Linked DNA regions of Anolis sagrei. The protein of the gene in region 2 purifies or fractionates together with the protein of the main gene of each other region. This does not show direct contact. Links are inferred from orthologs where the notes say so. Each region holds a gene or a part of one and is shown on either strand. Other genes may lie near its edges.

The links.
Region 1: the proteins of DDX23 (region 2) and PRPF6 purify together in Homo sapiens (affinity purification with mass spectrometry; 3 studies listed by BioGRID and IntAct, counting the BioPlex papers as one, with this or other methods). This does not show direct contact. The link is inferred for Anolis sagrei from reciprocal best matches to the Homo sapiens genes DDX23 and PRPF6.

What each region holds. Positions count from the first base shown.
Region 1 is NC_090024.1:237,895,252-237,902,677, forward strand, and holds the start of PRPF6 (pre-mRNA-processing factor 6), read right to left. Parts: upstream 3,034-7,426; 5' UTR 3,018-3,033; coding exon 2,806-3,017; intron 1-2,805. UniProt on the Homo sapiens protein: Involved in pre-mRNA splicing as component of the U4/U6-U5 tri-snRNP complex, one of the building blocks of the spliceosome.
Region 2 is NC_090022.1:137,777,928-137,785,216, reverse strand, and holds the start of DDX23 (probable ATP-dependent RNA helicase DDX23), read left to right. Parts: upstream 1-4,268; 5' UTR 4,269-4,406; intron 4,407-7,289. UniProt on the Homo sapiens protein: Involved in pre-mRNA splicing and its phosphorylated form (by SRPK2) is required for spliceosomal B complex formation.

The DNA.
Region 1 (7,426 bases), on a different chromosome or scaffold from region 2:
CTGCATTTACTGTTGTCGTTTGTCATCAAGTCGACTTCAATCTATGGCACCCTAGAAATAACAGCTCGGTGCTTGCCTACTGCAGATCTTGGCATCTCCGACCAAATCGATCCATTTGTAATGTACTTTTATTCTTTTCCTAGAAATTATGGATTATACTTAAAGGATGTGGAAGTGCTAAAGTGAGGTCTCTCCCCACTCCTCCTCAACTTTAGACTTAGGGTTGCCCTAAGTCCAAAACAACTGTAAACCAGCCCTTGGCTTAAAAAGTGAGGACCCCTGCATTAAAGTAGTATTACTCAGAATTTCATCTATTAGTTTTGAAGATTCCAAAGGACTCCCTGTTTCATACATATCAAAGTGTTTGGACCCAGGGTGGGAGCAGAAGAGACCACAAAGGCAAAAGTAAAAGTCTTCTGCTCTACTAGCACCATCTTGGGGTGGAAAACTTGTATTAACACACAACAGAAAAACTCAAGTCCAAAACACCTAGAATGATAGAATCATAGAGTTGCACAAGATCACATGGGGCATAAAGTCCAACTTCCTGCCATGCAGGAAAAGCACAAAGTACCCCTTAACAGATGACTATCCAGCCTCTGGGTTAAGGTTTTGCCATTAAAGAATTGTTACATTCCTTCTACAATATCTGTGTTCTGTTCTGCGTTGCGCAAACAGCACTCCTGAAGGAGCGAAGTGGAAAGAGCGTAAAGCTCGATCGTCCAGAGAGGCTCTTCTCTCGCTCCCGCCTGCATCGCAAGTGCGACTTGTGGAGACGAGAGAAAGGGCCTTCTCTGTGATAGCCCCCCGGCTCTGGAATTCACTCCCCAGAGACATTCGGCAAGCCCCCACACTGGCAATCTTCAGGAGGAATCTGAAAACCTGGTTATTCCAACGTGCCTTCAATGATTGAATGTAAGATACTCCCTGACCAAATTTCGTACAAATGACTTCAGAAGGACTTTATGGTTCGTGCAATTAATTCCTTCCTCAATCTGGATCTCCCTCCCCAACAATTTCCATTGCCCAATCTCCCAGTGTTTTAAAATTTAAAATTTTTATCCTTCTCGCAGTCCAAGGCACTCTCAGCACTTTCCTCCAACACCACAGCTCAAAAGCATCTCTCTTCCTTCACTCAGCCTTCCCTAAGGTCCAGCTCTCACATTCATAGGTGACTACAGGGAATACCATGGCTTTGACTAGGCGGATCTTTATTGCCAGTGTGATGTCTCTACTCTTTACTATTTTATCGAGATTGGACATTGCTCTCCTCCCAAGAAGGAAGCGTCTTCTGATTTCCTGGCCACAGTCTGCATCTGCAGTCATCTTTGCACCTAGAAATACAAAGTCTGTCACGGCCTCCACATTTTCTCCCTCTATTTTCCAGTTGTCAATCATTCTTGTTGCCATGATCTTGGTTTTTTTGACGTTTAGCTGCAACCCAGCTTTTGCGCTTTCTTCTTTCACCTTGATTAGAAGGCTCCTCAGCTCCTCCTCGCTTTCGGCCATCAGAGTGGTGTCATCTGCATATCTGAGGTTGTTAATGTTTCTTCCAGCAATTTTCACCCCAGCCTTGCATTCATCAAGCCCTGCACATCCTCACATGATGTGTTCTGCATACAAGTTAAAAGGTTGGGTGAGAGTATGCAGCCTTGCCGTACGCCTTTCCCAATCTTGAACCAGTCTGTTGTTCCGTGGTCAGTTCTGACTGTTGCTACTTGGTCCTTGTACAAATTCCTCAGGAGAGAGACAAGGTGGCTTGGTATGCCCATCCCACTAATAACAATAAACATTATTTATACCCTTTCCTATTTATTAATTTACTGTATTTTTACATTATTTTAAGTAGGGGGCTGTTTTGATATTTTTAGGGAGGAAGTTCCAGAGGCGGGAGGCAACCACAGAGAAGGCGGTAATAGTATGAAAGCTGGGTCCGGAATAATAATAATAATAATAATAATATACCCTGCTCCATCTCCCCCAGGGGGACTCGGGGCAGCTTACATGAGGCCACACCCATCAATACAGTAAACACAATATTACACAAAAGCATAACCCAATATAACACAAGGCATAACAGAACTAAAAAAAACATAAAATGCAAAACCTAAATAATAAACGAGACAGCAGTATAAAATCGGACAGTAAACACAGAAATTGCACAGGGCAAGGCCAAAATAAAGCCCGACTGCTCACTGGAGGGAAGGATACTAGAGACAAAGCTGAAGTACTTTGGCCACATCATGAGGAGACAGCAAAGCCTGGAGAAGGGAATGATGCTGGGGAAAGTGGAAGGAAAAAGGAAGAGGGGCCGACCAAGGGCAAGATGGATGGATGGCATCCTTGAAGTGACTGGACTGACTTTGAAGGAGCTGGGGGTGGTGACGGCCGACAGGGAGCTCTGGCGTGGGCTGGTCCATGAGGTCACGAAGAGTCGGAGACGACTGAACGAATGAACAACAACAATAAATAAAGTTTATTAGTATTAGTATTTTAGGAAGAAGGAAAGAAAAGCGCAATTTTCTACTGAAGCAGGAATTGCTTGGGTTGCAACTACACTGTAGAATTAATGCAGTTCGACACCACGTTAACTGCTATAGAATCCTGGGAGTTGTAGTTCGGTACTTTTTGGCAGAGAAGGCTAAAGGCCTTGTGAAACAACATGAGTCCTAGCAATCAAGTCAAAGTAGTGTCAAAAGTGCATTCATTCCACAGTGTAGATACAAGTCCAAAGAGAGAGACAGAATGGAAGGGAAACCGAGGCCTCGCTGGCCGCCCAACTCCCAACTCGAGCCCCCGGCTCACCCGCGGCCTAGGCCCGGCACGTAGCCCAGCGGCGCAGGCATGCCCAGGAAAGGCTTCTTCTTCCTGTTCATGGTCCCTGTCAGCGAGGCCGTGAGGCCTGAGGATGCAGACCCTCCGCTTCCCCCGGGCCCGGATGAGCTCGAGCCTCCCGGGCCGGAGGAGGAGGAGGAAGAGGCGCCAGAGGCCGACGAAGAAGCAGCCGCGGTGGCCATCTTGGCGACGACTGAGGAGGAAGGCGGCACGCATGCGCAGTAAGGACGGAAACCGACTACGCATGCGCGTCTGGAGGAGACAGAGGCCCGTCTTGACTCTATTCCATTATGGACTTCACTTCCCAGAAGCCTCAGCTGCGTTGATCAACGGCCAGGAATTCTGGGATATGAAGTCCAAAAATAGGAAAACACTTGGAGATCCAGAGTTTGGGAGTTTCTCAATTTGGGACCAGGGTTTTTCCCCAATTCTACTTTTTCTCTCCTTTTTGGCATGCATTTAGACCAGGCATGGACCAACTTGGGCCCTTCAGGTGTTTTGGACTCCAACTCCCACAATTCTATTAGGAATGGTAGGAGTTGGAGTCCAAAACACCTGAAGGGTCCAAGTTGGCCCATACCTAAGTATAGAGGCCTAATAATGGCCTAGTCCTTTGGTTTCCTAATTCTGTTATTGTTGCCCACCTCAATCCATTGGAAAAGGCAAGTAAGAAATGATGGTGATGACGATACCATTGAACATCCCATGTCCAGAAATCATAGAATCAAAGAGTTGGAAGAGACCTCATGGGCCATCCAGTCCAACCCCCTGCCAAGAAGCAGGAATATTGCATTCAAATCACCCCTGACAGATGGCCATCCACCCTCTGTTTAAAAGCTTCCAAAGAAGGAGCCTCCACCACACTCCAGGGCAGAGAGTTCCACTTCTGAACAGCTCTCAGGAAGTTCTTCCTCATGTTCAGATGGAATGTGCCATATTTGGAGTTTTGTTCCGATTTTGGAATCCTTGCATACACATAACAAAATATCATGGGAATGGAATCCGAGTCTAAACATGGAATTCATTTATGTTTATACATTTAAAAATGCCTTTTGCACCAGCTCAGCTTTGAAGAATAGAAATAAATGAAGAATATCTTCAACCCTACATACAGAGGAATCTTTAGCAAAAGATCTGGGATTTCTAGGAGTCTCTGCTCTGGTTTCCACCAGATTGAGTACTGGTATACGCACAGAATATCCACATGGTTTAAATGAACCAAATCTGTACAGTTGTTTTATATATAATTCTGAAGTTTTATCCAAATTGGTAGTGTTACAATATGTCTCTCTGTTTGAGCATATTGTGAGCATTCACAGCGCCATCTGGTGCCTACATTTTACATTTTTGATTCCAACAGTCCCTATGAGTGGGCTGTTGTAAGGTTTTTCGGGCTATATGGCCATGGTCTAGAAGCATTCTCTCCTGACGTTTTGCCTGCATCTATGGCAAGCATCCTCAGAGGTAGTGAGGTCTGTTGGAAATAGGAAAAGGGTTTAAATATCTGTGAAATGACCAGGGTGGGACAAGGGACTCTTGTCTGCTGGAGCTAGGTGTGAATGTTTCAACTGACCACCTTGATTAGCATAAAATGGCCTGACAGTTCCTGGCTATATGCTAATTATATGCTAATCAAGGTGGTCAGTTGAAACATTCACACCTAGCTCCAGCAGACAAGAGTCCTTTGTCCCACCCTGGTCTTTCCATAGATATATAAACCCTGCCACTCTGAGTTAGGTTGCCATGGAGAAAAGGGTGAAGCCAACTGCACTTACCAGAGGCAGACATTTTGAGGCTTCAGTCCTTTAGTCAGCGAGCTAAAGGGAAGGTGGTTCAAACGTGTGGTGAACCAAACTAAGGGAAAGCTTTTAGCCTGAGTGATTTAATCAAGTCAAGGGGACTTATTTAGGTTTGTGGTTTAGCTGTGTGCTAATAGAAGAAATCCCACTGGGAATCTTTACTTCAGCAGGAAGCTGAAGGGAGACAAGGGCATTAGGTAACCTTAGTTAATCTGTCAAATAAGGAAACATATTTAGAAGTATAACAACTAAAGAACTAGTTGGTGAAGTAAAAGACGTCCTAAAGTTACGTTAAGATTTGTTGAAACTGTAACTCGTGAAGCTTTATACCTCAGGAGAAGAGAACTCTGAAACTATTTATTACTCCAAATAAACTTGTGCTAGTACGGCTGTACCAGGAGCTCCAACTTTATTTGCTTTGTATTAAATGTTTGCTTGCAGTCCAAGGTTTCAGGGACTCTGCAGATAGGTGGCTTCCTTTGGTTGCAGTTGTAGGGCAAGTCACCTGCCCATCATCGTTAAGTTTTGGTCCCGCCCCTTGCTCAGGGCAATAGGGAAGGGAGCCATTTTTAGTTAGTCTCAGTAAGGAAAGCTAATGTAGAGGACGTGTACAAGCTTCTCCTGTACAAAAGCTTCAACCCATAAGACTTTGCAGTCTTAAGAGCATCCAAAGATCTCCGAAGATTTCCAGGGAAACAGCTCTAAAGCCTTGAGGAATTTTGGAGGGCAAACAGTTTGGAAGACCACAAAATTCTAGGTGGAGAATCTACTAGCCTTACTGGTAGGTCCACTCAATGCTCGAGATGCAGATCGACCTGGTAGCGGAGCCCACATCAATAAGGATTAGATTACAGTCAGCCTGGGAGAAGTTAAAAAGGGTTTTTTCCTACAGAGAAAGTTTAATTTATCAAAGTCAGGTGCCAGTCCATTGAGGACTAGACTGGGAAAGCCTTGAAGTGTTGTTTGAACAATTGAAGATTTGTTGTATGTTCCATAATAAAGACTTTGTTGCATTATCAAAGACTTTAAAAACCATCACTTCTAGAAAATCCCCGAGAACTTCTCTTTGGGGGCCCCTGGCTTCCCGCTGGGCAAAGGTTGCACATCCTATTTTAAAGGAAATTCTTTACAGGCCCAGCGCGCGACAGAACAAAACTTGTTCTTGTTTTAGTAACTCAAGTCTCAGTGTACTATTTCAAGGGGGGGAAAACTCGCTACACACCAAAAGAAACACTACAGAGTGGTAGCAGTGAATCTATTTGAAAATAGGGGAATCCATTAATAAACTGAATAGGAAACCCTTATTAATTGGTGGCAGCATCACCTAGCACCTCACAGATGGTGGCAGCATACTAGATTGAATAGAGTATCAGACAACGAAGAGGAAGCCTTTACAGCAGTATTACTGTATTTCTTCCATTTTTTGTCCGGTTGTTTGAGAGTTGCAGTTGCTTAAGTTCCGATTAACTGAAAGTTTGATATATATTGTGTATGTATGTTTGTGTGTGCAACACACACACAGATATAAATATGTATGAAGCAATGCACCCCCTCCAAAAAATCTGCAGATTACTTTTTGTATATTCTCACAAAATATGTTGGTCCAATTTTTTCATTTTCTTTTAATATAAGTTTCAGCAAATGCTATGAAGGCTTCGTACTAATCTTCTATTTCTTTCCTTTCTTTTTCCACTCCCTTTCCTTCTTTTAACAACCTCTGGCCAAAATTAATTCATCCCTCAAAGGCATAAATTCTTCACAGCTTGAACAAAATCCTATATGCTTTTCAACCAAGCGATTGTAGCCTAGCTTTGTACAGCAAGTGCATTGGCTTCTCTTCTCTTAACAGGGGGGAAAAAATCAATATCATATTTTAGTCCTAAGGCATGGTTAAATTTAATCTTTGTGGATGGTGTGTCCTGTCCCGCACACCCTTGATTATTTAAGAAATAATGCCCATAGCGGAGGCATATGCAGAGCAATAAACCAATCTTGTTCTTTATTAAATGCTAGAGCAAAAAGTGTTTAATTTGACAGCAAACTCCATTTATATATCTCAGGTTTGCTCTGGTGCCATGAAAATTGATGCTATTGTCAAGCGAGAGAGCAATTTCACAGATATATTCCTGTTTCAAGAACAGCATCTACAGGGCTGGAGGGGCTTGTCTTTTCCCCCTTTGAACTATAAGTTTTGTCCAGTTCTTATTCTACTATTTCATGTGTCTGGGCATTCATTTTTTGAAAACACTGCTGCTGATGTGGATCACAGCTGATCAAGACTGTTAGTGGATTACCATCTACTAACTAGGGGCAACTCTAAACTGTAGACTTGGAGTTAGACCACATCTGGAATACTGTGTCCAATTCTGGGCACCACAATTGAAGGGAGATGTTGACAAGCTGGAATGTGTCCAGAGGAGGGTGACTAAAAATGATCAAGGGTCTGGAGAACAAGCCCTATGAGGAGCGGCTTAAAGAGCTGGGCGTGTTTAGCCTGCAGAAGGGAAGGCTGAGAAATATGTGAGGGGATGTCATAGGGAAAAGGGAGCAAGCTTGTTTCCCATATATATGAATGATATAATTTCTGCCCAAACCAGCCACGTTTTAAAATTGTGGATGTTCCTGGGTGCCTGTCTACACCCACCCCAGAAAGCGCGCACAGCCTGGCAGAACATCTGGGGACCTTTCCCCCTCCCCCAAAGCCCCCAAACCACTTTGAAAAGTAAAATAAAAGGCCTGTCTAGAACCGCCTTCAGATAACCCAGTTCATACCAGATATTGTGGGATTTTCT
Region 2 (7,289 bases):
TCCCCCTCCAAATAATTTCAGTTAGTTGCCTCTTTTTGCACTTTCGTTAGCTCTGCAATCAACATTGTGAGGTATGGTGATCACAACCATATCCAGCACTGGGATTTCACAAGAGAGGCAAAATAGTCTGGCCTTGTAGGAGGCAAATACTTATGTGCATTTTGCACATAAATAGCAGCAGCAACAACAACAACAACAACAATGAAGTGGGAAAAGCTGCCCATCACTATTGTGCTTAATTTAAAAAGAGGATGTTTCTCAGAAAGAGTGGGGTTTGGGCAAAAAAATGGTGGAAAAGTGAGTCAAATCTCTCCAAAATACCAAATGCAGAAAGATAATTCTTTATTTCAAGTGGTGAGGAAATGGAGCACAAACTTAGGCTGAAGAATTGTACATTTGACAGGCTAAGAAAACATTTTTTAACTGGAGTACAATGAAGTATAAGAGCAACATATCTCCCATAATGTAGATCTAATCCTGTCCTAATCAAGTCACACCCCAAACCAGGAGAGCAAAAGGCCAGATTTCCCTTGGGAGGTTCATCTCATGCTTAAGAAAACCAAGTTCATACACAATCAATAATGGATTCCTAGAGGAAGAGGTCTATCATAGTAAACCTGGTTGCTTCTAGACCTTGTGATCTGGTTGGTTTTGTGACATCCCATATGTACTTAAACCGGCATATCTATACTGTGGAATTATTGTAGCCTGACACCACTTTAACTGCCATGGCTCAAAGCTATGGGATCCTGGAAGTCGAACATTGGTGAGCAGACCTGTAGTCAAGGGGCGGGAGGGGTCCAACCTCCCCCCCTCCCCAAAAAACCTGGTTTGCTTATGAATTTTAACTGGTTAACCAAATCCCCATGCTAAGTTATGAGAAACAAAAATTAAACGAGACCCTCCAGAACTTCAAGCACTATCTCAAGCAATTTTTAACAATGTATTCACACTGTCATTACTTGCAGCAATAGCCGATATAGTGAAATTCAGGATATGTATTTCCTGAGTCTTAAAATGAAATGGTTCAGCAGATTTCCCTGGTTAGCCTACTCATTTAATGTACAAGATGCATGGTGGTGATGTGTGGTGATTGGAGAAGAAGTTGGGGAAAAGGTGGTCATCAGTAGCTTTGTGCTTTGGTTGCTAAACCATTTGTGGGATGGAAAGATGCAACAGAAGTTTTCAATGGACACCATCAGAACATCGGAACCAGGTTTACCTGGATTAAAGGAGCCCTGGTGGCACAGTGGGTTAACCCTTGTGCCGGCAGGACTGAAGACCAACAGGTTGCAGGTTCGAATCTGGGGAGAGTGCGGATGAGTTCCCTCTGTCAGCTCCAACTCCCCATGCGGGGACATGAGAGAAGCCTCCCACAAGGATCATAAAACATCAAAACATCCAGGCGTCCCCTGGGCAACGTCCTTGCAGATGGCCAATTCTCTCACACCAGAAGCGACTTGCAATTTCTCAAGTCGCTCCTGACACATACACACACCACACACACAAACACACAAAATCAGAACAACTTGTGCTCAGCTGAAAACTTCAGACTAATTCAAAGTGGAAAAAGTCCTGATGAGGTACCAGCCCTCATTGGCAGGGAAAGTTAAAGGTCTTATAAAACTACAGCTCCCAGGACTATTCCATACCCTTGAGTTCTGGTAGTTAAGGCAATGGCTACATTCCTCAGTGTAGCTCAAGGCAATGGCTACATTCCTCAGCAACACACAGTAATGACTATGTTTTTGCTTAACTCAATCTAAACAGCTGTCCTCCTACTTAACAGGTCAGTTGAGTAGAAATTACATTTTCCCACTGAACAGATTGCAGTTTGCTATTACTGGAGAAAGTCATATGACTTGCTTTGAATAGCGCTACGTTGTCCTGGAACCCTCCTGATTTCTATGCAATTAGAGCAACTAATTGTTAATAATAGTGATAGTAATAGTAATATTGGCACTCTATTGTAAAATATTCTGAAGATATGTTTTTTATCAAATCTAGAAAGCTTGCATTTGCCATTTGGCTACAATAATGGCAAATTAATGACAATTGCTGTTATTTTACTATATCTTCCAACCCCGTTTAGCTTGTGATTTTAACTAATTTGTTCTCCTCTAGTCATGTCCGACTCTGGGGGAGGAGGTGTTCAACTCAATTTCTAAGCCAAAGAGCCGGCGTTGTTTGTAGATGCATTCAAGGTCATGTGGCCGACATAATTGCATGGAGCACCATTACCTTCCCGTCAAAGCGGTACCTATTGATCTACTTGCATTTGCATGTTTTTGAACTGCTAGGTTGGCAGAAACTGGGGCTAACAGCAGGAGCTCACCGCTATCCCTGGATTTGAACTGCTGACCTTTCGGTCAGCAAGTTCAGCAGCTCAGTGGTTTTAAAAAGTGTATTTTTATTCTATTTTAATATGTACACATTGTAGGTTGTAAATTGCATTGTTTTTAAGATGGTAAGCTGCTTTGGGTCTTGATTAAGTGAGGACAGCTGGGCACAAATATCATCATCATCTATGGTTAAATGGTTGGATGCTTTATTGCTATATGCCTTATGAAGCCTTTGAGTTTAAAAAGTATAAACACTTTTAATACGCAAAACAAAAGAAAAGAAACTTGGAGCCTATACAGGATTTTATTGTGGGCCGATACGCCCTCTAATGTCTACTGTAATAATTTGCAATTGTAAGTTGAATTCAGAAGCATGTGTTGCCTCTAGCAAAGTGTCCATACAGTGTAATTAGTATAGCAGTTTGACAGCACTTTAACTTCCTGGCTCCCTGAAAGAGAATGCTGGAATTTGAAGTTTGGTGAGAATAGACTTCCACAGCACTCTCTTGAATATTGTTTATGATAGAGAAGCCTAAGGATGCATCTATACTGTAGGATTAATCCAATTTGACACCACAATTTTAACTGCCAATGTGCTTTATTGGCTCTCATGATGATTTATTTTATGACTGAATTTATACTGTTAATTTGCGTTGCTTATTGTTTATTACCATATTTCATGGTGTAAGTTGCCTGAGTCCTCATGGGGATTTATTTATCGTGTCAGAAGTGAATTGAGAATATTGTTATAATGTATTAAAAACCACAAACAAAGTTCAAAACTTGGCATATACTAAATGTCCTTTGACCAGAGGCTGGTAATGGCGCACCATGCAGTCATGCTGGCTACATGACCTTGAAGGTGTCTATGGCCTCTTTGGCTTAGAAATGGAGATGAGCACCAATCCCCAGAGTGGGACACGAATAATGTCAAGGGGAAATGTTTACCTTTATTTATACTTTTTGGCAGGGAAGGAGTAAGACCTTGTAAAACTACAGCTCAAACTGCATTCATCCTACGGTGTCAAACTGCATTCATCCTATGGTGTAGATGCAGGCTAAGCCACTTCTGCACCAAACTAGGAGTCTAGTGTCTAGATCCAGGGAAGTCATGCTACCCATGCTCTATTCTGCCTTGGTTAGGCCACACCTGGAATACTGTGTCTTGGGCACCACAGTTGAAGAGAAATTGACAAGCTGGAATGTGTCCAGAAGAGGGCGACTAAAATGATCAGGGGTCTGGAGAACAAGCCCTATGAGGAGCGGCTTAAAGAGCTGGGCATAGCCTGCAGAAGAGAAGGCTGAGAGGAGACATGATGAGGGCCATGTATAAATATGTTAGGGGAAGTCATAGGGAGGAAGCTTGTTTTCTGCTGCCCTGGAGACTAGGGTGAGGAACAACGGCTTCAAACTACAAGAAAGAAGATTCCACCTGAATATGAGAAGAACTTCCTGACTGTGGGATCCGTTCAGCAGTGGAACGCTCTGCCTCAGAGTGTGGTGGAAGCTCCTTCTTTGGAGGCTGGATGGCCATCTGTCGGGAGTGCTTTAAATATAATTTTCCTGCTTCCTGGCAGGGGATTGGACTGGATGGCCCACCAGGTCTCTTCCAACTCTATGATTCTATGATTCTACACATCCCAAGATTTCACAGGAAGCAACTATGACAGTTAGAGCAGTATCGAACCGCTATAAATGTGTTTCCAAACCGTGGTTGCGATTTCAAGGTAGGCTTTGAATTGATGCATTTTCATTCGAAACCTTCAACCGTAGTCCAACTCTACTCACTCTGTCTGGTGCTTCCTGGGGTCCTTCGACTCCTTTTTTGCGCATGCGCGCTGATACTCCTGGGATTTGTAGTCCGAAGAGGCGGCACTGCGGCGGGTCGCTCACGCCGCACGGACTTCCTTTCCCATGATGCTTTGCGGGCTGTTGCCAACGGAAGTCGGCCGAGTAACATGGCGGCGGTTTCGGAGACGCAGTGAGTCGTTGCCGACGTCGAGGAACGTTCCAGGTGAGGCGAATGGCGGCTCTTTTGGAGGAATAGCGGGCGACTGACGGCAAGTTTGCACGCTTGGCCTGGTTTGAAGGAGTGGGGGCCCCTTTGGGTTCTGCTGGTTTTCCTGGGGAAGACAGACTTTTGAGTTGCTGCCCTTAAGGAGCTACAGCTGCTGGGTTGTAGATTTTCCGGGCTATATGGCCATGTTCCCGAAGCATTCTCTCCTGACGTTTCGCCTCCACCTATGGCAGGCATCTTCAGAGGTTGTGGCCTCAGGCCCCTTCCTTTTCCCCCTCAGCCGCTTAAGCGGCTGAGGGGGAAAAGGAAAGGGCCTGAGGTCACAACCTCTGAGGGTGCCTGCCACAAATGCAGGCGAAACGTCAGGAGGTAATGCTTCTAGAACATGGCCATATAGCCCGAAAAACCTACAACAACCCAGTGATTCGGGCCATGAAAGCCTTCAACAAGACATAGCTACAGCTGCTTTTTCATTGTAGAATTAGTGCAGTTTGACAATGCTTTAATTGGCATGGCTCCATGCGGTGGAATCCCGAGATTTGTTGTTTTGCGAGACTTCAGCACTCTATTACAGAGACTGGGAAAAACTACAATCCCATAGCATTGACCCATGACAGGTAAAGTCCTGTCAAACCTCATTAATTCTACAATATAGATGTTACTTGGTGTTTTTCTCATATGCCCCTTAATCCTATGTCGAAGCCTGCTTTCCCCCCTCTATTTTAGGTTTGTTGTGTGTCAATGTTATATTTATATGCTGACTTTTTCTCCACAGAGTTCAAAGAAATGCCCTTTTGTCTGGAACCCCTGCTCCTTTTTTATCTTTAGGACCATGTTATGAGGAGCACATGATTGTGATATTGTACAGTATATTATATAATACTAATAGTAGAATGTACAGGTAGTGTATTATATATTGCAATATAATAATATAGTACAATGTAATATATAATAATATGATAATTTTATATTATACATCAAATATATTACTAGTAATATTGCAGTATAATGTTTGATGTAGATGTGGATTTGCTTTTGGAATTTTGGGGTGGGGTTGGTTATTTTTGTTTTTGTTCAGCTTCTCACGGCATTGCCAATATCTGTTGTTAACCGCCCTGAGTGCCCTTGGGGAGATAGGGTTGCATATAAATAAAGTTTTATTATTGTTCTTGTTGTTGTTGTTATTATTATTATATTGTGGTTTGGCTGGGAGAGAATCGGAGCCAAGTTAGGGTTTGAGCCCAGGCTCCCTGGTCCAGGTCTGACACCATAACTCCTGCAAACCAGCAAGATTAATGAAACCTACCTATAGATCATGCATATAGTGGTGTGGTGGCTTTAGCATTTGAGGAGGACTCTGCAGAATCCGCATTTAGCCATGGAAGCCTTCTGAGTTGAATTTTGCCTTGCCAAAAAGACCCCATTGATCAGGTCACCATAAATGGAAAATGATTGGAAAGACATACAGCAGCAATTACAATTAGTGTTGCATTTTGGATTCATTTCTTTCTAACATACTTATGCCAGAGCTTTCCAAACATTTCATGTTGGTTTTTTAGACATGCATCATCTTGCAACACAGTAATTCTGTTTTACTGGTAATATACAGGCATATACAAAAGCTATAATAACAAAATCTTAGAATCATTGAGTTGGAAGAGACCTCGTGGGCCATCCAGTCCAACCCCCTGCCAAGAAGCAAGAAAATCACATTCAAAGCACCCCTGATAGATGGCCATCCAGCCTCAGCTTAAAACCCTCCAGAGAAGCAGCCTCCACCACACTCCGGGGCAGAGAGTTCCACTGCTGAACAGCCCTTACAATTAGGAAGTTCTTCCTAATGTTCGGGTGGAATCTCCTTTCCTGTAGTGTGAAGCCATTGTTCCGCGTATAAGGACACAACATATGTCAAGAAAGCCTTTCTACAAATATATAACTGTTAAGATAATAACCTGTATTTCCAAGATTTTTGTCATTTCTTGTTACATTTTCACAATACATTACATACTGCAGCCAACACACTAATGTGTGCCAACACAGTTTGGAAAGCTCTGCTTATAGGCACAGAAACAGTAATTTACCTCACTTACATGTAACTTTTTTTCTTCCTATTGCAGTCAGCCCTCTATATCCATAATTCTGCATCCATGGATTCAAGTATACATAGCTTGAAATTTTCTTTTTCAAAATCCAAAAAGCAAACCTTAATTCTGCCATTTCAGATAAGGACAGAGGAAACAACCAGGCACATCTTAACACCTCTCAACAGAACATTTTCCCAGGCTCAGCCAAGCCTTCAAATGCTAATGAAGGTGGTCAGCTGAAACATTCACACCTAGCTTCAGCAGAGAGCTCTTTGCCCCACCCAGTCATTCCCCAGATATATAAACCCATTTTCCTATTTCCAACAGACCTCACTACTTCTGAGGATGCTTGCCATAGATGCAGGCGAAACGTCAGGAGAAATGCCTCTAGAACATGGCCCTATAACCCGAAAAAACCTACAAGAACCTAGGACAGCATTTTATTATGCCATTGTATATAATGGGACTTGAGCACCCACAACTTTTGGTACCCTCCTTGGGGACAGGGGGTCCTGAAATCAGACCCCAGCAAATACCAAGGACCCATTGTCAGGTGGGCAGAAGATGGCCTCCATGAATGTTTTTGTGGCACTCAATTGTACCACACTCCTTGGGCTGTCCTTTACCTTCCTCTTTTAGAACCTCCAAAAGTGTCAGCCTACCTTTTAAACAGATTGCATGCTGCCTCTGTACTGTGTGAAATTTTCAGGAAATTTGGTTTTTAAAACAGGTGGAAATTTGTCTGGTGTGGCATTTTGTGTGGATCCCAGATACCGAAAACTGGGTCTCAAGCCTTCTGCAGATGCCCAGATATGTATGGACTTCAAACTAGTATTCCTTTGCAGA